Linked DNA regions of Tamandua tetradactyla. The protein of the gene in region 2 interacts with the protein of the main gene of each other region in a pairwise test. Links are inferred from orthologs where the notes say so. Each region holds a gene or a part of one and is shown on either strand. Other genes may lie near its edges.

Region 1 (8,098 bases), on a different chromosome or scaffold from region 2:
ATGCCAAAAAGGAAAATAATAATAATAATAATAGCATATATGTATTCGCTCCCCTGTGTTGAGAGCTTATTAGGTGCTGACCTCTTTACCAGCAGCACTGCGTCTAAGTCTCACCACGGGCAAGTGAAACGGGCTCTTGCATTTCTTGGCGCTCAATGAAGGGAAAAGTGTCTCCCACGGGTGACTTTGGGGGAAACTGGCGGGTTTGATCCCAAAGCCACGCCCGAAGGCAGTGACTTTATACAGACGGGGGTCGCCCGACGAGAGGAGGGTTCGGGCATGTTCAACAGAGAGCCCAGCCTGTGCAGAGTCTGACACACGTGCAGCTTGGAGGAGCTGGGCGGGTTCGGGGGAAAGGAAGCAGGACGGGTGGGCGTGGCCAGGCCGAGGGGCTGGGGGGGTCTCTCCTGGGGACTCTGGGGAGCCCTGGGGGGGCTGTGGACAGGGCAAGGGCAGGGTCAGCTCTGGGTGGGTTCAAAAAGGCCCTCGGGGGTTGAGGGTCGGGCTGGAGGTGGGGATCTGAGGCAGGGAGGCCGGGGAGGAGGCAGGGGTGAGGGGCCCAGGCGGGGGTGTGGGGGAGGAGGAGTCTGTGGGGACAGAGAGGAGGGAACCGAGAGTCGGGGGGCAGGTAAATGGCTTTGGGGGTTCTTAGCATGACGGGTCACAGGGGTCAGGATGACAGGACATTAGGCAACCCTGGCCAGGGGTCAGAAGTCCTCCAATCACCGGGCCATAGAGGTCGTGGGTCCCAGAATGAGAGGCCAGAGGGCAGAGATTGGGGGTTTCAGGATGACAGGGTCCTAAAAGTGACTCCTGGTCAAGGGTCAGAGGTCAAATGTCTGGCTTCTAGATAAATGGCTTGGGGCTTCTCAGGATGAGGGGCCCACAAGGTCAGGGCCGTGGCGTGAGGGGCGCAGGGCTGCAGCTTCCGCCGCGTACCGGGCGCGTAGTGGCCGTAGGTGGCGTTACGTAGCTCCTCCCAGCCCACGAGCCCGTCGCGGTCCGTGTCGTACGTGTTCCAGGCCGCGCTCACCGAGTCCCGTATGTGCCGCTGCTGCGTGTGCGCGATCCACGAGCGGAGCTCGGCCAGAGACACCCAGCCGTCCCCGTCCCCAGCACTGTCCATGCGGTCCACGATCCTCCTGCCAGCCGGGGCGGGACCCGGGTCAGTCTCCGGACCCCGCCCACCTCGGGGCCCCGCCCCTCGCCCAGGCTCCGCCCCAGACACGCCCCCATTCGGGGCAGAAAACTCGATCCGCACAATCCAGGACCGCATCCCCCACGCCGGCCTCGCCCTTCGACGCTGCACGTGCTCCAGGGCGCGCCAGGCTGAGCTGGGGCCCCCGACCCAGGATTCGTTCTGAACCCCGATTACCACAGTCACACACACCTGTTTCTCCCGGCCTCAGGCCCCGCCCCCTCCGCTGGCTCGGACTTCTCTCTAACCCCGCCCCCCGCTCCGCCCCCTCCCCGGACAGACGCGTGCGCCGCAGGCTCCTCCCCTTAATCCCCGCCCATCAGGGCTGCGCGCGCTTACGCCCCGCCCCTGCTCCACCGACCCCGCCCCGCCCCCTTTCTTCTGTCAGCTCCGGGCCGCCACAGGCTCGGGGCCCCCGCCCTCCCCGCCGGCTACGCCCTGCCAAGACCCCGGCGCTCGCCCAGTCTCTGTGAGCCCACGTGGGCCCTCCTCCCGGTCACCGTTCCTCAGGCCCACGGTCCCCAGACCCCAGGGCCAAGTCCGAGACGGCCAAGCCCTCCCAGGGCGCCGCCCTCCTCCCAGGCCAGACTGTCTCTAGAACCCTCTAACCTCACCTCCGGCTCTCCTGCTTCACTCACTGGGTCCCAGCCACACTGGCCTCCTCGCTGTCCCTTAAACACACCGGCCCGCTCCTGCCTCAGGGCCTTTGCACTCACTACTCTCTGCCTGGAATGCTGCACCACATGGCTCAAACAAACTTCTCATTGAGGTTTTCACCCACCTCCTCTCCTCACTGATCTCCCCTCCCCACCTCTTCCCTCCACACTTCACTTCCTCCAGGTCTTGCTTGCTTTTTCATTTTCTAATAGGCGTCTCTCCATCGGATGCCCTTTAGGGCATAGGGCAGGGACGTCGGTCTGATTTGTTCTGTTTGCTGCTGTGCCTTTTAGCACCTCGAGTGAAGGTTCCTGGTACCCAGCAGGTGCCCAGAAGTACAGATGGGGGTGGGGTTTATGTATGCAGTGGTTCCATCTCCTACCTGCCCCCAGGCGCACCCTGGCCCTGTCTCTCCCACACAGAGGTGCACCGGCCCCCTGAGGTTTGGGGTGACACGAGCTCACCCTGGGACTCGGGGCTCAGGCTTTTCCCTGCCCTGGCTAGGCTCCTTACATGCCCAATCTCCCTGTTCACCGAAGCCCCTGTCAAAGGGAACTGGTGACCCATTTGCCAAGCAGGGGATTGGAGCTCGGGGAGGGGAGGTGTCTGGGACAAAGGAACAAATAATGTCTTGGGGGACACAATCTGAACCCAGATCTCCCTGCCTTCAGAGGTCATATCTTAAGGCCTTGATTTTCCCTTGATTTGTGTTTTGACCCGAGGACGGGAGGGAGAACTTCATTTTTGGATTCTCGCAAAAAGCCGAGGTCCATTTTACTCTGTCTTTCCTTCCCAGTCCCCCATCAATGCCCCCACCCCTCTCTCCTCCCACCCCACCTCTGCCCCTTCCCCTCCCTCCCCCGTTTCTCTCCTACCCCAGTCGGATCTGGCTTTCCTCTGGGCTGAGCTGGTCGAATTCCTTGGCCACCTCACGTCCCAGGAAAGCCTCATGGTCAAACTGGAAGTTCCCGTGGGCATCGTCGTGAGGCGCCTCGCTGAGGGGGGCAGGCTGGTGCACCCTGCCCTGGCCGTGTGGGCCAGCGTCCAGGGACGGCTTCCCCTGGGCCCCCCGCCTCGGCCCCAGCAGCAGCAGCACCAGAAGCGAGAGTCGCCACATAGTTTCTGGGGAAGGGCGGAGGCCAGGCGTCACGGGCCACAGAGAAGAGGGCAGCGTAGGGACAGGCCGCAGCGGGGCTTGGGGGAGGAGCAGGACAGAGATTGGAGCTGGGGCCCGGGCTGGGGAACAAAGGGTTACAGGGTCCCCAAAGGGGGGCCCAGCTGTGGGAAGGCCCAGAGCCTCACGTCCAGGAGGTCCAAGGGGAGACGTGGCGCTCGTCCCACGCCAATGCAGTGCGGGGTAGCGGCCAGGCAGAGATCAGGCAGGCTCCGGGGACTCGCTTATGGCCTGGACCCCAGTTCTCCACCCGAGCCGCATCCCCCGGGGCTGCACCCCACCCGCTCCCCGTTATCCTTTATCCAACCTGGCTTGGCTCGGCGCGCGGGGCTCTGGCTGCTGCAGAAGATGCCCAATTTGGCCGCTCTCCAGCCGGGCCCCGCCTCCCGCAGGGCAGAGGCCCCGCCTCCCGACCAATGAGTGCGCACGAAGGCCCTGGGGGCGGGGCCGATGGGCGCTCGGAGGGCCCGCGGGCGCCCCTCGCCACGTACACAAGGGAAAGCGCGGTCAGCGAGGCCCGGCCCCCCTTTCCCAGGACAGGCGGGGTGGGCGATGCCGGCGCGCCGAGGCCGGGGAGAACTACAACTCCCGGCAGGCATCGGGGCGCCCTGCCCGACCACCCCCAGTTGTTCTGACCTCAAAGCCTCATGGGAAATGTATTTTTATCCCGTTCCGTTTGTTGGAATGGTTTAAGACATGAGGTCCGGGAAGGTAGCCCCTTCTCTTAGCGACGGAACAACTCTTTTCCTCCACTCCATCAGAGGGATCCTGGTCAAGTTCCATCCAAGAATTCCTCAAATGCCCGTCACAGTTTAGGCAATCAATAAGTTATTTGTAGAATTTACGACTGGTAAATACGCGAACTGGCACTTAAAATTGGCAAATTCCACCACGACAGGATGTTGGCTGCGGGTGGGATTTGAAACTCAGGTCTTCCACCACGTTCATCCCCCCACCTCCCCTGCTTGGAAATGTGAAATGATGATAACACAGTGATTCGGGCCCAAAATCATGTTATACATGTGAAGATGGAAAACAGCCAAATATATCAGGAGAGGAAACTGAGGCAGCCTACAGGAGGAGTGGTCCAGAAGGAGGACAACGGGCCCAGGACTCCTTCTGGAGGCTCAGAGATGCCAGGATTCCATCTGGAGGTCTCACAGCATGAAAGGGAGAGGAAGACAAACATTAGCTGACAGCAGGCAAAATGGGGCGTGAGGTGGGGGTCAGGTAGACACTGGCAATGCATTTGCATCCTGAGAGTCAGCGTCCTGGGGCTGGCCAGGAGTGGGCAGGAGCGTCCCTATGTCGTCCCCATGGCGGGAGACCCAGAAGACTGAGGAGAGAAGGAGAAGGACATAAGATTTACTAAGACTCTCTGAGTTCCTGCCCCCCTCCCCAACACCACCACCAATTTCTGTGTATATGTGTCTGTCTCTTTCTTGTGATAGGTCTCTGTCCCTCCACCCCCACCCCTCGGGGTGCCTACCCCTCTCTCTCGGGCCCTTTCCTCTTCCTGCCACCCACCTGGCAGCTCCTTCCTCATCCTCCTCCACAGCAGAACTCCTCCTGCAGCTGCTGCCAGGAGCAGCAAGACACTGATGACAATTGCAGCCACTTGCACCGAGGACTTGGGTGGTGATTCTGCAGCCAGAGAAGGCTATAAGAGGCTGACTGTACCCTCCACCCCATCAGAGTCAGGTCAGGGAGCTGGAGGTTCCTATAGCTTCCCCCTCTCAGAGATCCCAGATGTCTGGGGTGAGGGTGAGCAGAGGAAAGGCCGGGGCAGGTGACACTCCATGTTTGGGCAGAATGTACCCAAACGTATGTAAGAGCCAACCTGGCCAAGGGAACTGTAGCACCAGGGTGGGTGATGTTCCAGCTCAGAGAGGATTACAGATGCAGAACAGTAGAAGGTCAGACTCACGGAGGACTGGCAGTAGCAAAGCAGTAAATGGTCAGTCCTGGGAAGAATTAGTAGTAGCAGACAATAAGTGGTCAGACTCCATGAAGACTCGCAGCAGCAGGAGGGAAGGTGGTCAGACTCAAGGAGGACCAGCAGCAGTAGGATGGAAGGTGGTCAGACGCAGGGAGGACCCACAGCAGCAGGAGGGAAGGTGGAGGGCAATCAGACAGAAGGGGACGGCCACCCGGCGGGACCTCACCCAGCTCCACAGTGAGGGGCTGTGACAGCCCTGCGTGCTGCACGAGGCAGCGGTAGTGATGTTCGTCGCCACTTCTAACAGTGAGTGAAGTCCAGGCATGGAAGGACCCATCACCGTTGGGGCCATGGTCACCTTCCCCGGAGCCAGCTGCCAGCCCATTCCGGAGGAATCGCAGTTGCAGCTCCGGAGGGTAGAAGGAAAAGGCACTGCAGGTGAGCACCGAAAGGCCAGGGCCGCCTGGTCGGGCCCTCAGGCGCATGGAGGGGGGCTCTGCAGACAAACAGGCAGATGGTTGTGAACCCCCAAATCCCTGAACTCCCAGGCCCAGTCCTGGTGCAGGGCTGAATAAGGACAGAGGGAAGATGCCATTCCTTCCACCACAGCCAGAGGACCCCATGTGTCCTGCTCTGTGCTGAGCCTAGAGGGTATGGTGCCCTCCAGGGGAACAGACACTCCACCGAGCCATCCTAAGGGTGTCCCCCTGGATACCCCTCCCCCATCCATTCATTCCTCCAACAGACACGTCCATGCCGGGAGCACATCATGTGCCAGGACACATGCTCCCTGTCGTCATGGAACTGACATTTTAATGAGAGCAGAGGGATAAGGAGTATTTGTGAACAAATAAATAAAAGGGAAACATACTTGGAAAAATGCTGTCATAGGGTGACATCATACAGATCTGATAGCCATTAAAAAGGTAGTAAGAGGGCAAAAGATAAGAAGAAGATGGTATGGAAAATGTCATTCCATATTTGACAATGTAAATGGACGCAACACATTCCTGAGCAATACAACCTTCCAAAACTGACACCAGAAGAAATGAAAATCTGAGTAGTCCTATATCTATTTTAAAAGTTTAATCCATAATTTAAAACTTTTCTACGTGAAACTCTAGGCCCATATGACACAATTCCTGAATTCTTCAAAACAACTAAGGAAAAAAATAAGTGTTCTTACACAAAATCTTCTGGGGAATAGAAGAAATTTCCCAATACCCTTTATTGGTATAACTTTGATAACAAAACCTCATAAAGATATTACAAGAAAGGGAATTTAATGTCAATGCCTTTCATGAAAATAGACTAAGAATTCCTAAACAAAATATAAGTAAATAGAATCCCACAGTTTCTATAAAGGATAACGCATCATGATGAAGTGAAGTTTAATACAACTATATTCAAAATCAGTCAATATAATTCACCATATTAACAGAATAAAGGGTAAAAAAACACATGGTCACCTCAAGAGATGCAGAAGAAATAATCTGATAAAATTTAACATGTAGTCGTGCTAAAAAACAAACAAACAAACAAAAAACTCTTAGCAAACTAGGAGTTGAAAAGAACTTCCTCAATTTGACTATGGGCATCTATGAAAAACTTATAGCTATCATCATACTTCATGGAAACGATTTAGTGCTTTTTCCATGAGTTCAGGAATACCAGCTAGTATTCAACATTGTCCTTGGGATCAGACAAGGAGAAGAAATAAAAGGATTAAAATTAGTAAAGTAAAGAAAGAAAACATGTCAAAGATGACACAATCCAAAAGAACCTGAAAAATACTATTAGAATAAGCAATAATATTGTTTCCAGATACAAAGTAATTACATAAAAATCAGTAGTGTTTCTATAAACTAGCCTCAAACAAATGGAAAGTCCATTTTTAGAAATATTTTTAAGGGATGTATGTCAGCAAAATAAAAATTTTGAAAAGCTCATAGAGCTGTACCAAAAAAATTCCATTGACAATGGCATCAAAAAATAGCAAATACTTTGGAATAAATATAGCCAAAGATTTGTGAGATCCCCACATTGAAAACCACAAAATATTCCTGTGAGAAATTAAAGCCCTAAAGAATCAAAGGAATATACCATGTTCATGGATTAGAAAACAAGATGAAAAGAGGTCAATTTTCCCCAAATTGATCCAAAAAACAAATTAAGCTAAAAATACAATGTAACCATAATCAAAATCCCCCAAAATTACTTTTGGTGAAAAGTGATAAGCATATTCTAAAACATATATAGAAATGCAAATGACCTAGAATAACCAAGGCAATGCTTAAGAAGAAAAAGGCAGTTGGAAAACTTCCCATATTAGATATAAAAACTTATTTTAAAGCTATATTAATCATAAGCGTGAGGTATGAGTTCAAGAATAGGTCAACAATATTGTAATTCTTAACATTCAAACATTCTTGTACGAAATTTTTGGAGGCTCTGCCATAGCAGAGCTGATAGTAAAATAGGTTTAATGATAGTTAAAAAAGAAAAGAATAGATCAACAGATCAATGGAAGAGTCTAGAAGCAAAGCAGAGCCAAACCACTTTATGAAAATGCTCTACTGCAACTCAGCGTGTGTGTGTGTGTGTGTGTTGTTGAGGGATTGATCATCTTTGCGATTTGCGATGAATCTAAGGAAAACAAGGAGCCTTGATTCCTATTTCACATTATACTCATAAATTAACTCAAGATGTCACGTTTCTAGAGGAAAATACTTTCCTAACTTTGCAAGAAAAGATTTTTTAAAGAACACACAGAAAAGCAACAAATGAAAGACGGAAGAATCGAACTTCACTAAAATTAAGAAATTCTGTTCATCAAAAGGTTCTATGAAGAGAGTCAAAAAACAAGCCAGGAATAGGCTTATTTTCACTGCAAATATAAGACAAAGGACTCACACCCAGAATCTAGTAAGAACTTAAACAAGAAAAATAAGATTAAAATTCCCGTTTAAAAATGGACAAAAGACTCGAACGGACAACTCCAAAAAAGTGGATATCTAAATGGCCAATACTGTGACACCCCGTTAACGATCAGATAAATAAAAAATACAGTCACAGTGAGATTCCACTGCTCAGTGCTGGGGACAGACGGGGGGTTGAGATTCTGTTCTAC
Region 2 (8,375 bases):
TACATATAATCCCAGCAAGTACCATGCAATTTCAACACTATTTAAAACCAGTAGGTTTGGTTTCATACTATTTCACCAGAATATTATTTGTCTTTGTAGAAAATCCTTATTCTTTAGTAGGAAATGTTAAGTTATTTATAGAACTTGTAAGAAAGCTGCTACAAATAATTTAGAAACTCAGCTGAGTGGATTAGAAAAAGGATAAATCTCCATGTCTGCCTTAACTCTGATTATACCAAATCATATGACTAATCTGTCCATCAATTGGATTTAGAAAAGTTTGCAGGCAGAAGGAGGAAAGAAAAGGGCAGAGACCCCTGAAAAGGCCCTATCATACTACAGAATCCTTAAAGAGACAGGAATGATGACAAGCCCCATATCTGCTCCAGTTTCCTGTTACGAATTCCCAATCTTTCCCTTCCAACATCAAGTGGCCAAGATACTTTTACCATCCATGCACCTTCTGCTGTACCACTGCAGCTCACTTTGCATTTCCACATTTCCCAGGGGCTATTGCATCCTTAAAACTCTAACTGCAGAGAATGACCAACAGTCAGACAAAATTAACCTCGGCCCCTAGCACTGCATGTTCTGTTCAATTACTCATAGAAACCTGACTGGAAGCAGATGAGTATGGGGAAAATAATCTATCCTGCACCTAGAAGATGTTATTCAAGGACCCAGAGCATGCCTCAACTTAATTCCAGAAGAGAACCCCGAACACCTAACTTCACTGGACAGGCTGGTTACAGGACTGAAGTGGGCCCAGGGCACAGGCTCTGCTTCCGACTCACCAAAGTCTCAGCTTTCAGCCAGGATGTCCTGGCCAGCACCACTAGCCAAAGAGCAATCCTGCTGCTGCAGGAAGAGGAATCCCAAGATACCCTGGGCCACAGTAAAACCCACACAACCTTGGTCAGTCATTCTGCTATGGGAAATAAAGAGGCCTCATAGAGTTAGGCAACATACAAAGATCCTAAATGTAAGAGATATGAAGTTCAGGATCTTAGGAAATACCAACTGCTAAACAATTTCTTCTTATTTTTCTACATATAGGTAGCATTTCTAATTTCACAAAGTGCTGTACAATCCTCTTTGGTCCATCTCTAAAGATAAGACCTGGCCTGATTAACAAATTTGCAGCAGGAAGGAGAGAAAAAAAAAAGTTGCCCAAACCAGTCTTGTCCTTTGCATGTGCTTCAATACATTTTACACACAGCTCCATCCTTTATGGCCACTTGAGTGACAGACAAAAACAGCTGCCCAAGTCTATGTGTGCATTTCTCCTCACAATCAAAGAAGGCCTAAACAAACAGTATGGTAGAGTCAGACCCACTTTTCTCTTGATACACTCCAACAAAGTTCATCACAACCCATATTTAAAATAAGAGATTCGATAAGCGTTAGCAAGAGCTGCTTTCCACTCAGAGGCTCTCTTCAAAAACTTTCAACCAAAGAACATGAACATTTTGCCTGCCAGAGAGAACTGCACCGCCAGCCACACCTGGTCCTGGCCACCCAGACAGAAACAGCCTGCTCCCCATGGCCCTTTCTTAAAGAGCAGATGACTGATCCCAAAAGCCCTCCACGCAGTCAGCTCTAGGGCCTGCATCCTCCCACTGACACAGTGAACCGGCCTCAGTCCTGCACAGCCTCCAGAAGTAAAAGGTAATCACTGAGGAGGGAGAGATAATCAGCCAAGACATTCACTTCAGGTCCTACCTTTCCCCTCTGGCCAAACCAATTCAGCTGCCTGACCTGTCTTTCCAGGCCCACTGAAGGGGAGCATCTAATACAATACCTGATGAGTACAGTCCTGGCCAGATTTAACTAATTTCTTAGTTAATATTTCATCTAGAAAGACCATGAGGACTGACTCTTTCCCAAAGTCCCATCTGTGGCCAGAGGCTGCAAAAAGACACAGGATATAAACAGGAATGGGAAACTAGAAAAGACCCACTCCTCAAAGGCAGCCCACCTAGCTATAATCCAGTGTGCTCCTTAAGGGAGCTACTTGAGGGTTACCCTCCTCAGCTTCCCTGAGAAAATCCTACTTATATTCTGAAACGCATGGCCAGAAAGTTCCTCTTAACATCTCACTGCACATTTCCTCTTCTCCCTGCCTGAGATCCCAGGTCCCCATCATTTACTTCCCAGTGGAAATGTAAGCTGTGACCCCCGTAAACCCTTAGCCAAAAGATGGGTCCGTTTGATCCTGCCCCTATTCTAGACAATGTTCCAAAGCAAAGAAGTTGCAGAGCCAGATGGGAGTTCTGCTTAAAGAACCGTGCAGAGTAAGCAAAAAGTTTATCAGGAAGAGTTGTTCCGGCAAACTTCAAAAGCAAAAGCTATACACTGATATTGAGTCTGAGCTCACTTGTATCAAAAGGAGACCTCCTCCTCATCTCTTCACGAGCACAACCCTCTCAACTCGTTCCCTTTCCAACTCACTAGAAAGCCCGGTGCCCCAGATCCGTCCCTATCCTATGCAGTTTCCTGCCCTCGGAGCTCCTCCAGCCTCGCTGCTCCAAAGCTCTCTCATTTGCTCCCCAGGCCCCGCCTCGCCTCCCCCATTCCACTTCAGCCCCCGCCTTGGCTTCCCCTCGCCCACTAATGACCCCCTACTGGCGACCCCTCCTTTCACCACGTTTACAGTTCCCCTCTCACTACGTTCCCCATTTTGCTCCCCATTCACACACCCCCAGTTCTCGGTCCATCCTCCTAATCCCAGTTAACCCTTCATCCTCCCCTCACCCGTTAACCCTTCACTGACCACACACTCCGTTAACCCCTTTGTCCCCATTCCCAACTTGAGCCTTAACTCCTTCCCTCAAAGCAGAAAGCCCTCCTTCCAAGTGCTTTAACCCTCCTCCTCCTCCTCTCCCTCAAATCTCTTTGCCCCGGGCGCTTTCCTCCCCTGTCCGTCTCCCCACGGCCCAGGTCTTACCAGTACTTGACGATAGCTGTAACCTGAAGCGGGTTCGGCTGGTCAGGGTAAAGGCGGCGGCACTCTCCGTAGATGGCGTGCAGTCCCGGGGGAAAGAGCGAGGCGAAGGCCGGGGGGGCAGTAGGGCCAGGGGCCGGGGGCGCGGTTGGGCCCGGGGCGCCGCTAGGCCGCAGCTCCGCCATCGGGGCAACTAGGGCGCTAGGGTAACCCGGGAGGGTGGGTGAAGGGGAAAGCACTGACGGGCCAGCGGGTAGACTCTGCGGGTACGACTCCCCGAAGCGATCCGGGCTGCAGCGAGGTCTACGCTCCGCGCCTGCGCACCGCGCTTCGTCCGCCCAGGCCGCCGCCGCTGCCGCCGCGGAGTCTACAAGAGGGTGCCTTGATGCCGCGGGGTGCTCGAGGGGGGCGGGGCGCCGGCGCGCCCTATCCAAGCACCAATTGGTTAGCGTCTGTGCCAGTCACAGATGGGGAAGGCGTGACCTGACAATAGGTCCGCCTCCCCACCTTGAGTTGAGGGTGTTCCAAGGCTCTTTATCTCCCCCTAGTGTTCGGAGGGAACCAGATTCAAATACAGATGTTGAGCATCCTTTTGAAGTACTAGAGTCCCACGAAAGCACTGGGAATGGCGCTGACAAAAGGGTTGCAATTGTTCTGCTGATACACTAACAAGGATTTAAACATAACTATGACAATGGATTGATTCATTCGTCCATGGGAATTAGTTTTAATGGATTATTAATCTAATGTTTCTTACTGTCTTTGAACGTCTTTAAATCATACTGACTGACACTGTTAACACGGCCAAATTCAGGGGTCCTATGCTGAAATAGAACAAGTCGACTTTTAATAATTTAACGCTTTTAATAACGATGACATTTTTTCTTCTGTTTTAGGTAGATGAACTGCAGATTACCTCGAGGCACTTCAATATTTATCATTTGCTATGGGTTTGCCTTTCGCTGTTACCTTGACTCTCCATAACTGGAATAATTTTTCTTTAATTTCTAAGGCATAGGATTTGGAATTGTCTTCCTGTCGATCGCGAAGAAATGCCAAGAGAAAGGGACAGAAGGGAGTGTTGGCTATAACTGCTATTGACTAAAGGGTCCCTCCAACTTGAACAGAGAAAAATAACATAGAGAAAAAGGCCCTGGTCTCATATGAGAGCAGTGCCACATAAACTTTCTTTTGATGGACTATCTTATCCATCAAAGTCATAGTTATTTTTAACTTAAAAATCAATATTTCTGTGGAAATTAAAGAGATATTAGGACAGTTCCCGAAACCCTTATATTAACGATGTTCTAATTAAAAAATCACCCATATTTATATACGCAAACGAATTAAAAACAGGAACTCAAAAAGATATTTGTACGCCAACATTCATAGTAGTATTATTCACAATAGCCAAAAGGTGAAAGCAACCCAAATGTTCATTAACAGATTATGAATAAACAAAATGTGGTATACCCGTTTTATTTAGCCATTAAAATGAATGACTTCCTGACACATGCTACAACACTGTTGAACCTTGAAGACACTATGGTGAACAAAATGAGACATACACAAAGAACAAATATTGTATGACTTCACTTATATGAAATACCTAAAATAAACAAATTCATAGATTGATTGAAACAGAAAGTACATTACAGGTTACCTGGAGATAAAAGTGAAGAAAAGTGAGGCATTATTGCTTAATGAGTACAGAGTTTCTGTGTGAGGTGATGAAAAAGTTTTGGAAATAGATGGTGGTGATGACAGCACAACACCGTGACTGTAAATAATATCACTAAATTATACACATGAAAAAGGTTAAAATGGGAAATTTTGCGTTGTATATATGTTCCCATGATGACAATAAAAACAAATCACCTATACCCAGTAGTTCCAAATGCCATTCAGATTGTCAGCCTTTTATAAAGTTTACACCTATTTAAAAAGTTTTTTAAATGCAAAAAGCTGCAATATACTGCTTTTTTCCTTAAAGTTATTATTATTTTCCTGTATTCTGGGAGCATATTCTTCTGTGTGTAGTGTTGTTTAATATGTCTAGAATGTAATGGCAATAGGAAATGCTTGTTTTTAATATCTTAAAGACCCAGATAAAAGCATGGCAACCGTACATTGTTTGGGGATAGGGTGGGCAATGACTGATCCATAAAAATTCAAACAGCCACGAATTACTGACCAATCCAAACCAAACTACAGACAAGTATTTTAAAAAAAAAACTACGCATTTCAGCACGCATTGCGAACCGCTTCAAAGAGACTACAGATCCGAGCACGCAATTTAAGCATCAATCTGTGTCCGAGTCTACTTATTTATGAACATGGACACTACAAACCCCAGAATACTGTGCGACCGAAACGCTAACGCCCAGTCCTTTAAACTGGGCGGGTCTCCGAGGAGGGTTTTCCGCCAACCCTGGTGCACGTCATGCTGGGGGTTGTAGTTCCTAGCAAAGGAGGTAGCGCCCCTCCCTGACTGCCCAGTGCCGGCGGCTAGACTGCGCATGCGTGTCAGCGGCGTTTGCAGCGGACCGGGCTGGCAGTTCCTTCCTCGGAAAGAGAGATTACTCTGCCATGGAGTCCTACGATGTGATCGCTAACCAGCCAGTCGTAATTGACAACGTGAGTTGCTTCTTTCCTCTCTCTAGAAGGACTTGTGCTCCCATCCCCGAAGGGATGGCTTCCCAGGTTTCAGGCTGGGCGGCCGGCTCTTTGTCACCGGCCTGGCCTGTCAGGCGGGTTTATCGCCGCCGCTTCCGTCCTCCCCCACCCATAGACCGCAGGCAGGGCGGTCGGCTGGCAACCTTGGGATGGAGAACTTTGGGGTGGGTAAAGGAAAGAACTGTAGTCCGAGTCAGATTCTTGGGCCCTTGGCTCGAGGGGCCTTAACCTCTCTGTGAGCTCCCGATGTCCGCCTTCTGCCCATTCCCGGATAATTCTATTGGCTGCGCTAGCTGTCCATCTTGACCAGTAACCCCGCCTCTAAGCCTTTCCGGATGAGGGCAACCCTATGCAGTGATTGGCCCGCCCTCCTGCCTTTCTTCCAGGCCGCCGTAGTGTTCCCCCTCTTGAGGGGCGGGGCGCTGCATGAAGTTTGAACGGATTATCTTGGGGTGGGGCCTGAAGGGCGAGGCCGGCGGGTGGGAAGGACTGAGTTTCCTTGGGTCCGGAACTGGCGGGGTGGCTTAATAGTGTATCTAGGTGGGGTCCGAGAATCTGGTGCCAGAAATGGCCATAGGGTTTCAGTTATTTCTGCTATTATAAGGCATAAAATTAATAAATGTTGAGAAGAAAGGAGAATGACAAAGCAAGACGGGAGGTGCCTTCCTCTTAGGAATGTTAGTTGTTGAGGAAACAATAATTACTAAACATAATAATATTTGCAAGATGCTCTAGTGTCTGCAAGGAGCTTTCACATGCTTTCGAGTTGGGTCCTCTCAAAAACTGCGGACAGTTAAGGAAATTTGTCATTTTACAGATAAGAAAACAAGCTCGTGGAGGTAAAGTGAGCCCAAGGTTACACATGAGACCAGGGTCATACAAGCCCTAAATAGAATGTTTTATTCGTTATTCATTTTGCTAGCGCCCCACGCAAATGCATCAATAGTGACAAATGTAAAGAATCAGAATACTACTTGTAATTGGGAGCGATAGTTGTGAGATTGCTGCATTTCTGTTTTACACTGAAAGGTTATGGTCCCACCGAGATAACCTTTCTGTGCCCCTTCTAGGTCCCTCCATTGGGGCTAAACTACCAATCCCCTCTGTCCTAAACTGATTTTTTCAGATCGCTCCTTTGAGCCAGCCCTTGGGCATGTTACATGGTACTTTCATTTGCATCATCTTGTTTAAGGTTCGGGTCTGGTAGGTAGGTTAAGAATTAACTATCTTCATTTTATGCGTGAAAGTGAGGCTTGGAGAGATTAAATAACGTATTTAAAACTACCAGGTTTGTGAGTTGAGGAATCAAAACTCAGACTGAGATCCAGTTCCAAGTTCTTCACTTTTTCTAAGGAAAGGTGTTTTTTTGTTGTTAGTTTTCTCACTGTGGGTATGGCTTCTGCCTTGGAAAGGGTGAGGTTGAGCTCAGTGAGACATCCCTTTTTGAAATTTTTTTTTCTTCCCTCACTAGACTGTTAAATCCTTGTGGGGAAAATGGTGTTCCTTTATTTTTTTTTATTACAAACCCCCACCCCACCCCCCTGCACACACACACACACACACACACACACACAGTAGTTAGGGCAGTGCCTGGCACACATAATGTGCCTAATAAATGCTTTTTTCATTGGGTTGATGGGTGGGTGGATGAATGACTGAATTATCTCTTGTCATAGTAACAGAGATGTCTCTAAATAAAGGATGGGGGGAAATCCCAGTTAGTTTTTGGAGGGAATTGACTAGGACTCGTTGTTCTTGATGTTGCTTTCCAGAGAACACTACCATTTCTATCTTCAGCCAGTCTGTATACTCATCTGCTTTTTCTTTAGTTGTAAAAATAATTAATTAATTAACAATTGGTAGCAATTTCCTATTTTTCATCAGCAGTCAGAAGGAGCAGTCCATGCATCTGACCAGATCCTTTGCTTTTTGAATGATTGGGCAGAAGTTCTGTCTTTAAAGTCATTGAAGCTAATGCTTCTTAATTCCTCCTTTGTCTTTTCTGATAATGGATACGAAATGCGTCAAAGCAGTGATGCATTTTCAGTTTTAAAGCTTAAAGGATTGTCTTTTCTCTGGGAAAACGTTCTCTTCCTTATCCTAATAATTCCCAAAAGGTGAAATAGAAGAACTTAAGTCATTTTCCCGTTTTGCAGAATATCTGCCACATTTTTAGATTTGGGGCCATGTGTAGTTCTTTCTGTTTGAAATTTAAAGAGTTGGTTTTGTTTGTTCTGTGTGTTTGTGTTTTTAACTCTCAAGATTACAGATGGATAGGAAAAATCATTTTAAATATTTGAGCCAATTTTATGAGAATAGTGTGGCAAATTTAACATCTCCATAGCTTAACATGTTGCTACAATTTTCTTTCTGGGCTAAGGAGAGTGTAATTAAAGGAGGAGGACAAAGAAAGCAGGGAAAAGATGGAAGAGCCCCATCATCAGTCCACAGCTTTTTCAATCTTAAAACAATTATTCCCTGGTACCAAATCTATTCATTGGAATGAATGAGGAATATGGAGATGTGTGTTTGTATGTGAGTCCACTTTAATGGCAACAATACAGTGATAGGTATTTTTAAAATTAAATGTAAGTAATTCCTTCTCAAAGGCCTATATCATAGATAGTAATTTAAGAAGAGAGCCAAGTTTTGAGGACTAAAGCACTTTGATCAGAATACTATGTTTATCTGAAGCTAAAATCTCTGCTAAGATCTTAAAGGTTACAATTCTGTCCTAAAATGGATCAAAGTTTTA
Region 3 (8,117 bases), on a different chromosome or scaffold from region 2:
TATCAACTGGTAGTTCTCCGGAACTTTGAATAACTCTGTGACACCTAAGACCCAGAAATGAACAGTACAGCCCTGAAAGTGAGCATAGCTATATATAATAACACTTAAAGTAACCGAAAAAGAGATCAGGCCTCAGCATTAAAAACGAAGCTAATCTGGCTGGATATAAGGTAAATCAGAATACAGGGTAAAAGATAATAGCGTATGTACTCTAGACCTTCACGTACTATATGAGACCAAAGGCAGAGTGGTTTATTATGTCTGGAACCTAATTTTTCAATAATTCATAACCTAAATCAATCTGTCTGGATAGCTCACTTAAACAATCCAAACTCCTGGAGTCCAGAATGGGAACAAGGCCTTGTAATTCTGTATAGTTTAATGGAATACCAGGATACACATCCTAGACTATGGTGGGGGGGCTGATGATTAAAAGTATTGGTAGAATCCCTTCAAGATCCTAAGGGAAAAAAAAGTATATGTGCATACATATGGAACTATTGAACTTTCCCATCTGGAAGCTTTGGGTACCCTCTCAACCATTGGAGACTCCCAGGAAATTAGGTCAAGTCCTTGATTTTGAGGCTTGCCCATAGGAAACTTATTTCTGTAGAGGAGAAGCTAAGAGTACCCATAATGAGGCCTAAGAGTTGCATCCAGGAAACCTCTTTTGTTGCTCAGATGTGGCCTGGTCTCTTTCAATTATTGATCTGTTGAGAAGAATTTAATGCAATAAATGCTTGGTCTGGGAAAGGGCAAGGCTATCGGAGAATGGGTCTTAGATAATTATTTTTCCAAATGGCACCTCTATTCCACTCACAAAACACACAATAGGCATACCAAGCTAACTAAATAAGAAAGTATCAAAGCAATACATCAGTGTAGTACAAAATTTATATAACTTCATAATCTTACAACCTTATAATCAAGTACCAACTGATAGTGAAAATATCTTTTCATTGGGTTTGATGAAAGTGTAGATTATTAGGATAGTTTATGGGTCTATCTGCCTCCTGCCACTGAAGCCATTGGAGGCCAACACAATAACCCTCTTCCCCTAAACTTCAGCCTTTCTGTAAAAGATTTCCATCTCCCCTAAGAGAAAAAGGAACATGTCATAGGCATATTCTCAGTGGATTTGAAATGCTTACAGAAAGAGAGACAAGTTACGGGGAAAATTACTGGCACACACATACGCATACTCTTTTAAATTAAATAAAGACAGGGTCTCATTTTACTTCTCTAATCCATAACCTAGTAGTCAAGAAGGGAGACTCCAGAGCAATACCTGCCTTCAAATCTTGGTTCTGCCACTTACTAGCTGAATGACGTTGGGCAAGCTACCTAAATTCTGATTTCCTAATATGCAAAATAAGGATAATAATAGTACCTATTTCACAAAATGTCTCTAAGGATTCAATGACATAATGTACATAGGCCTTTAGCAACAGTGTCCAACCTACAATTAAGTGCTCAACAAACATTAGCTATTATTAAAGTCCTTTCAAAATGAGTGAAAAACAGAATGATTGATGTTTACATTCAAACCAAAATGCTTTGATATGTTGTACTTAATGCAAGTATATTAAGACAACCAAATTCTTGGTTTTACCTCTTGACTGACTCCACTGTAAAAATAATCAACAATTGAAATATGTTTTATCCTATTGGGGATTTCACTGAACAAGGACATAATCCCCTCTGAAAGCACAGAACAATTTAAAAAGCAGAATGAATTAAAAATGTCATGCCATATTTTTCAACCAAAATCTATCTGATTTGATAGAAGTGGTATGTTATTCATGGAAAACATTTTTGTAAAAGACATACACATGCATACACATAAATTGGGCTGGGAATCAAGATATTTAGATCCTAGCTGAAGCTTTGCCCAAAACTCATTGTTTGGTCTTAGACAAGCATAGCTTGGTGAATAAGAGTCAAACAGACGTATGTTTGTGTCTTAACTGTGATGTTTAGTAGATGTGTGATCCTGGGCTTTCAGCCTCTTCTCATTTGTAAAATGGGAAATAATAATTAGAAACTATCTTATAGGAATGCTGTGGGGTTTAAATGCAATAATGTTTATAATGATCTAACTCAGAGCCTGGCACTAATTGCTTAAAAAAATTAGCATCTATTAATGCTAGTACATTCACTTCTCTTGGCTTCAGCTCCCTCATACGTAAAATGAGGAGATTGGTTTACCTAGGGAAAATCCCATCCTGCTCAAATTCTACAATTTAAATGAGAAAATCCAGTGTCATCCTCTCATTCAGATAATAATTATAAAATAAAACTTAAAATAGGCTTTGCCTCAGATGGTTGTAGCAGAGACACAGTGAAAAAAGAAGGACTTAATGGCACTAAACCTGAAACTGGGATGAAAGGAAAACTTCCTGAGTTTCCATAATGAATCTCACTCTGAGACTTTCAAAGAGTTTAACCTCAAAATCAGTGATACCTCAAATCATAGCTTTTTGAAGACTGAAAGTCGGACTGATTTGAACAATTAGTTCCCCCACCCCCCACCCCCCATTTCTATTCCACAGATTCGTCTCCAAGCTCTTTCCAAACCTGATATTTTTAGATTAAGAATATGTCTTCTCAAATTTATCGCTCATTTTAGGGCTAGATTATCAGTAGCCCAGATTAAAAGTAACTAGCAGATCCCTCCCCATTAAACTGGCGCTTGAAACATATTCACCTTACCAACTTCTCATCCCTTACCTTACTCCGCCCAGACTGAGCTCAACCGCACCCGCTCTAGCAAAACGGAAAAGGCTCCTGCGCAAGCTCCACACCCCCTCTCGCCGGGAACCCAACCCTGGCAACATGCGAGTGCGCAGGCGCAGCGCTCTCAGTATGTTTGAGTACGGCTATGAGAAATCTACTGTCCAGTGGAATCTCGAAGTGATAGAATTCACCTCCCTTCTTTCTTCAGAGGCAGAGGCGCCACCTCTTGCTACTACGGGGTTAGAAGCGCGTTTAAAACGTTGCCCTCTCTAGGAGCAAGGCCCTTCGCTCTCGCAATACCCACTGCATCTCTCTTCTCAGCTCGTTTTTTACGTTACGCTGACGCCAGTCTTCGCCCGGAGGATACAGGCAGTTGGCTCCGCAGCAGCTGCACCAGTTTGTTGGCTGCCTCTTTAGGCCGCGGAACCTACAGGTCCCACACGGGGCACAGCAGCAGCCGAGTGCCTTGCTCTCCCTCCTTAGCCCTTCTCGTCCACCCAGGTTGGCTGCTTACCTCGTGCGTGGTGCGGTCACGGAGGGATCTGGGGTTCCCAGAACAGGTCAATGCTGGGGCAGGCGAATTCAGCGAGATTTTTCCTGGGTCTCTACTGCCGCCTCAGACAATGAAATCAGCGTGTCCGATCATCAATTCTCATCATGATCGTGACGTCACGAAAGACAGCTGCCAATGGGAGCCCGAGATCAGCTCTGGACAGTCCCTGGCCTCAGCCCAGAACCTAAGAGTGGGGAGGGGGAGGAGAGGTGGCTGCCTGCAGTGTAGCTGCCTCTTCCCAGCACAGATTAGCAACATACAGAGTCAGGCCTCTCTGTACCTCTCCCTTCCAGAATAGCTCAAATGCCCAGTATCCCTGTCATTATAGTGTATGTATGGAACCTTTTGAGCAGGTGCTGTCTGGTTTTCCAACTTGAGATTTGCTTTCAAAAGAATTGTTGCAAGCTGCTAAGATCAAGTGTGCACATAAAGAAATATAGTCTTTTGTGTTCAGTGTTTGACTGACAGGTACATATTTAGTGTTATTAAAATCAAGAAGGCGCCCTTAGAGGCTTTGGAATTTGTCAGTAAGAGCAAATGTACTATTTATATGAGACTGGTTGACTCTGGAGACTAAGACAGGAAATTAAAGTTATGAGTTTTATGCACCTAACCTCAATCGCGGTTCTACCAGAAGTTGCTTAAGTGATCACCAAAACAGCATTACAGTAAAAGATTCAAGAAACCTATTACATTAGTCAACACTCACTTACAACACTCCTACAGTTTGCTGTGTTATATGTAAAATTCACTGGTTCTGTGCTACTACAAAAGTAGGAAAATCATTGGGGAAATAAGATTAGCACACATAAAACATGCATGACAAAAAAATAAATTGCATGATCGTATATTCAGTCAGAAACTAAAGACAAGAGCAACACTGGATAATGATGGGAGACATCAGTGAGATGGGGATAATGAGGGAAGCGTTCTATGTTGTAAACAAAACTTACCGGATAGAAAAAGATGGAAGGCACTGTTTGATAGGGGAAGGAATAGGCAAAAGTGAGGAAATAGAAATATACACAAGAAGGTTCATAATGAAAACAATCTGACAAATGGACTTAAGGACTACTGAGAGATAGGACACATTGATTATTAAAGCCTTTGAAAATAGGTGGAGAACTTCAATTTGATTAAAAACCACCAAAGGCCTTAAGGCAGCCTTCTCAGTCAGTGATCTATAGAGCAGCTTGGGTGATTTTTTTTTTTTTTTTACTGTCAGATCATCCCCAGTTCCAGACAGCCCAATGTCATCCATTCACTAATAACATAAAATGCAAATTTTTACCACAGTTCCAGGGCCCTAAATGATTTGGCTTTTGCCATCTTTCTTACCTCAGTTCTTGCCAATCTCCAGCTAACTCAATTTCCAATCACACTCACCTTCTCTCAATTTCTCATATAAATTAAGCTCATCAGAGTCCTTTTACTATTTACTATTGCTCTCTCTCTTCTTAAAACAACTTACTTCCTCACTTCATTCAAATCTCTGCTCAAATGTAATCTCTTCAAAGTAGTTTCCATTTGAAACAGCAATCTTCCCAACACTCCATATACCCCTTTAACTGTTTTATTTTTCTTCCTAGGACTTATTATTATCTAATCTGCTTATATTTCTAGTTATTATTGCAAATGTACGTTCTATGAGGGCAGGTTTTTTCATGTTTTTTTTTATTACTGTCTGCCTAGGATCTAGAAGAGTTCTAGACACAAAAGAAGACAGATCAATAAGTACTTGTTGAATGAATTACTAAATGCAAAATTTTCAAGTGATTTCAAGTAATTTACAGTTTGAATCATATTGGGGATAGACTGGAGTGAAACAGACCGTTTAGAAAGGTGTATTTGTAATTCATGTTCTGGATGACTGACTTGAGTCTGGATCAGTGTTAATAGCAAGAATTAAAATAAATGAGTGAATCACATCAAAGAAGGAATGAAAAGGGTGAAGGTGGAGGATTCACAGATGACCTACTCATGATGAATTAATGCATGAAGTACCTACCATGTACCTGTCACTGAGATGATATGAGAGAAAAAATAAGGCAGAGTCTCTATACTCAAAAAGTTTATAGTTCAATTGACAAGACTATATATATATATACCAGAGTACAAAAGAAGGCAATTAAATTCACCCAGTTTCCCATTCCTCTTTTTCTGTCACACTCTGTGTCCTTAACTGGAGCACTCCTTACCTCCTCCATCACTAGTACAATGGTCATGATCACTATCACTTCTAGCTTGAATTACTTCAAATTATCTTATGTGGTGATGGCAGCACAATATTGTGAATGTAATTAACTACAATGAATTATATATAATATATGTGAATCTGGTAAAAGGGATAAAGTTCAGGCTGTATACATGTCACTGTTAAATTTTTTTTAAAAAACATAGGACTGTACAACACAAACAGTAAACTCTATTGTGAACAATGGACAATACAAAAAAATGTCCTTTCATGAATTCTAATAAATACACCACACTAATCCAAGGTGTTAATGATAAGGTTGTATATGGGAGTGCTGTGGTTTACACATGATTTTTCTATAAGCCCACAAATTCTCTAATGAAAAAGGGGCTATAGAAAAAAAGATCCTTTGCATCTGGAAGTGCAACTGGAGGAGGAGAGGTCGTAGCCTTTCTAGGAGCCCTTAGAGACAGAGTCCTCAGGAGCAGTGTGCCAACAGATTCATTCCACCACTTAAACCCTAAAATATTGAGCCACACCAGGTCTTAATGATTTAAGGTGAAAACAATAATTGAAAATGTCCAACAAAATAGCAAGCACCAACAACATAGCTGGCCAAAGAGAACTGTGCAGTAGTTAAGATTAGAAGCCTCAAAGATAAGCCTACTCTTTTAGTTTGTAAAAGCTGCCAGAATTCAATATACCAGAAATGGAATGACTTTTTAAAGATGAATTTATTAAGTTGCAAGTTTACAGTTCTAAGGCCATGAAAATATCCAAATTAAGGGAAGGCTGTAAAAATGTCCAAACTAAGGCATCCAGGGAAAGATACTTTGGCTCAAGAAGGCCAATGATGTTCAGGGTTTCTCTCTCAGCTGGAAAGGCACATGGTGACATCTGCTAACTTTCTCTCAAGGTTTTCTTAATGGCTTCCCCGGGGGCATTGTCTTTATGCATCACCAAATGTCTCCGGCTGTGTGCCTTCTGTTGGTTCTGGTGGCTCTTAAGCATTTTCAAAAGTGGTTCCCTCTTAAAGGACTCCACTAAGCAACCCCACCTTGAATAGGTGGAGACACATCTCCATGGAAACCCTATAATCAAAAGTCACTACCCACAATTGGGCGGGTCACACCTTCATGGAAATACTCAAGAAGATCCCACCCAGCAATATTGAATGAGGATTGAAGGACATGGCTTTTCTGGAGTACATAATAGCTTGAAACCATACACCTACTTATAATAATGCCAAAGAGTCATCCCCAAAGAACCTCTTTTGTTGCACAGATGTGGCCTTGCTCTCTAAGTCAACTCTGCAAACAAACTCACTACCCTCCCCACTATGTGGGACATGACTCCTAGGGGTGTAAATTTCCCTGGCAACATAGGAAATGACTTCCAGGGATGAGTCTGGTCCTGCCATTGTAGGATTGAGAATGTCTTCTTGACCAAAAGGGGAAAAAGAAATGGAACATAATAAAGTTTCAGTGGCTAAGAGATTTCAAATAGAGTCAAGAGGTCATTCTGGAGATTACTATTATGCAAGCTTCACCAGATATTGCAAATTTGCCACAGTATACCAAGCCCGAATCAACAGTATTCCTGAAAACTATAAAGAATACCTTGGGCTCTATCTAGGACTCTATAAATATTTATTTAACAAGTTTATTTTTTTCAGAAACTTAATACCTCCAGATTGTTCCTATGCCAAATAAGCCCTGAAACCCTTGAGAGAGGTAACAGTCTCTCCAAGAACATTAACCAGTTTCATACTTCTACCCCATAAGGTTGACACCCCTTTCCAGCATGAAGAAGTCAAAATGGTCATTGCCCAGATATCCCTGAAGATTGAGAAAATGATCAAATGTGAGGGAGGAGGTGTTACTGAGAAATTAGGATATAACATATGATTATAACTACTGACTCATTATATAAATATTTATTTTTAGTTCTTGTGTATCAGAATAGCCAGATGGAAATATGTGAAATTGTTGAACTGTAATCCAGTAGCCTTGAGCTTTGATAATGATTGTAGAGCTATATAGCTTTTATCATCTAACCATGTGATTATAAATCCTTGTAACTGACATTCTCTTTATCCAGTGTACAGGTAGATGAGTAATAAAATAAAGATACGCATAAAAAAAGTAAATTAAAATTATGTTTAATGACAAAACAAAGAATAGGAGACTCCACTGAAAGAATAAAAGGTTCAAAAGTATCTTTGGACTTCATGTCCTATTGTGAGGAGCATGCCAGGGAATTATAGGAATTCCAACTTCAGAAAAACCCTTTCAAGGATTAAAAATTTGCATCATCTTATAGTAGGATAATCAAACAATTCTTCATTTCTTCTCAACAAAGCAAATTATAAGCAGCTCCTTAAAGAGATTTACCTTCAGCTTAATTGGTAACCACTGCTAATAACTTAAATGCTCCTAACTTGAGTTAATGGCCTTTGAAGACTATTTTCCAAGTTTTCCTTTCTCATAAGTACCCTTTACTGATTTAATACAAAATAACTATCATGTTTTTCATTTGGTAACTATCCTGTCTTATTGGATTTCTGTTTAAGGAAAATTTGTTAGATATCTTTTTAAAAGCACAGTTAAATACTCTAAAATATGCAAATGATTT

Evidence for each region.
Region 1: the proteins of SUFU (region 2) and RCN3 interact in binary tests that used the Homo sapiens proteins (3 or more experiments, as listed by UniProt). The two-hybrid records come from large-scale screens. The link is inferred for Tamandua tetradactyla from reciprocal best matches to the Homo sapiens genes SUFU and RCN3.
Region 3: the proteins of SUFU (region 2) and HDX interact in binary tests that used the Homo sapiens proteins (3 or more experiments, as listed by UniProt). The link is inferred for Tamandua tetradactyla from reciprocal best matches to the Homo sapiens genes SUFU and HDX.

Annotation. Positions count from the first base shown.
Region 1 is NC_135342.1:11,591,300-11,599,397, forward strand, and holds the start of RCN3 (reticulocalbin-3), read right to left. Parts: upstream 3,429-8,098; 5' UTR 3,337-3,428; intron 2,978-3,336; 5' UTR 2,973-2,977; coding exon 2,731-2,972; intron 1,143-2,730; coding exon 940-1,142; intron 1-939. Other genes in the region: FCGRT (IgG receptor FcRn large subunit p51), read right to left, coding at 4,256-4,365, 4,557-4,673, 5,195-5,464. UniProt on the Homo sapiens protein: Probable molecular chaperone assisting protein biosynthesis and transport in the endoplasmic reticulum.
Region 2 is NC_135339.1:64,378,925-64,387,299, reverse strand, and holds the start of SUFU (suppressor of fused homolog), read right to left. Parts: upstream 3,316-8,375; 5' UTR 3,130-3,315; coding exon 2,948-3,129; intron 1-2,947. Other genes in the region: ACTR1A (alpha-centractin), read left to right, coding at 5,534-5,581. UniProt on the Homo sapiens protein: Negative regulator in the hedgehog/smoothened signaling pathway. Down-regulates GLI1-mediated transactivation of target genes. Down-regulates GLI2-mediated transactivation of target genes. Part of a corepressor complex that acts on DNA-bound GLI1.
Region 3 is NC_135353.1:85,477,276-85,485,392, reverse strand, and holds the start of HDX (highly divergent homeobox), read right to left. Parts: upstream 3,386-8,117; 5' UTR 3,251-3,385; intron 3,105-3,250; exon of another isoform or gene 2,731-3,104; intron 1-2,730.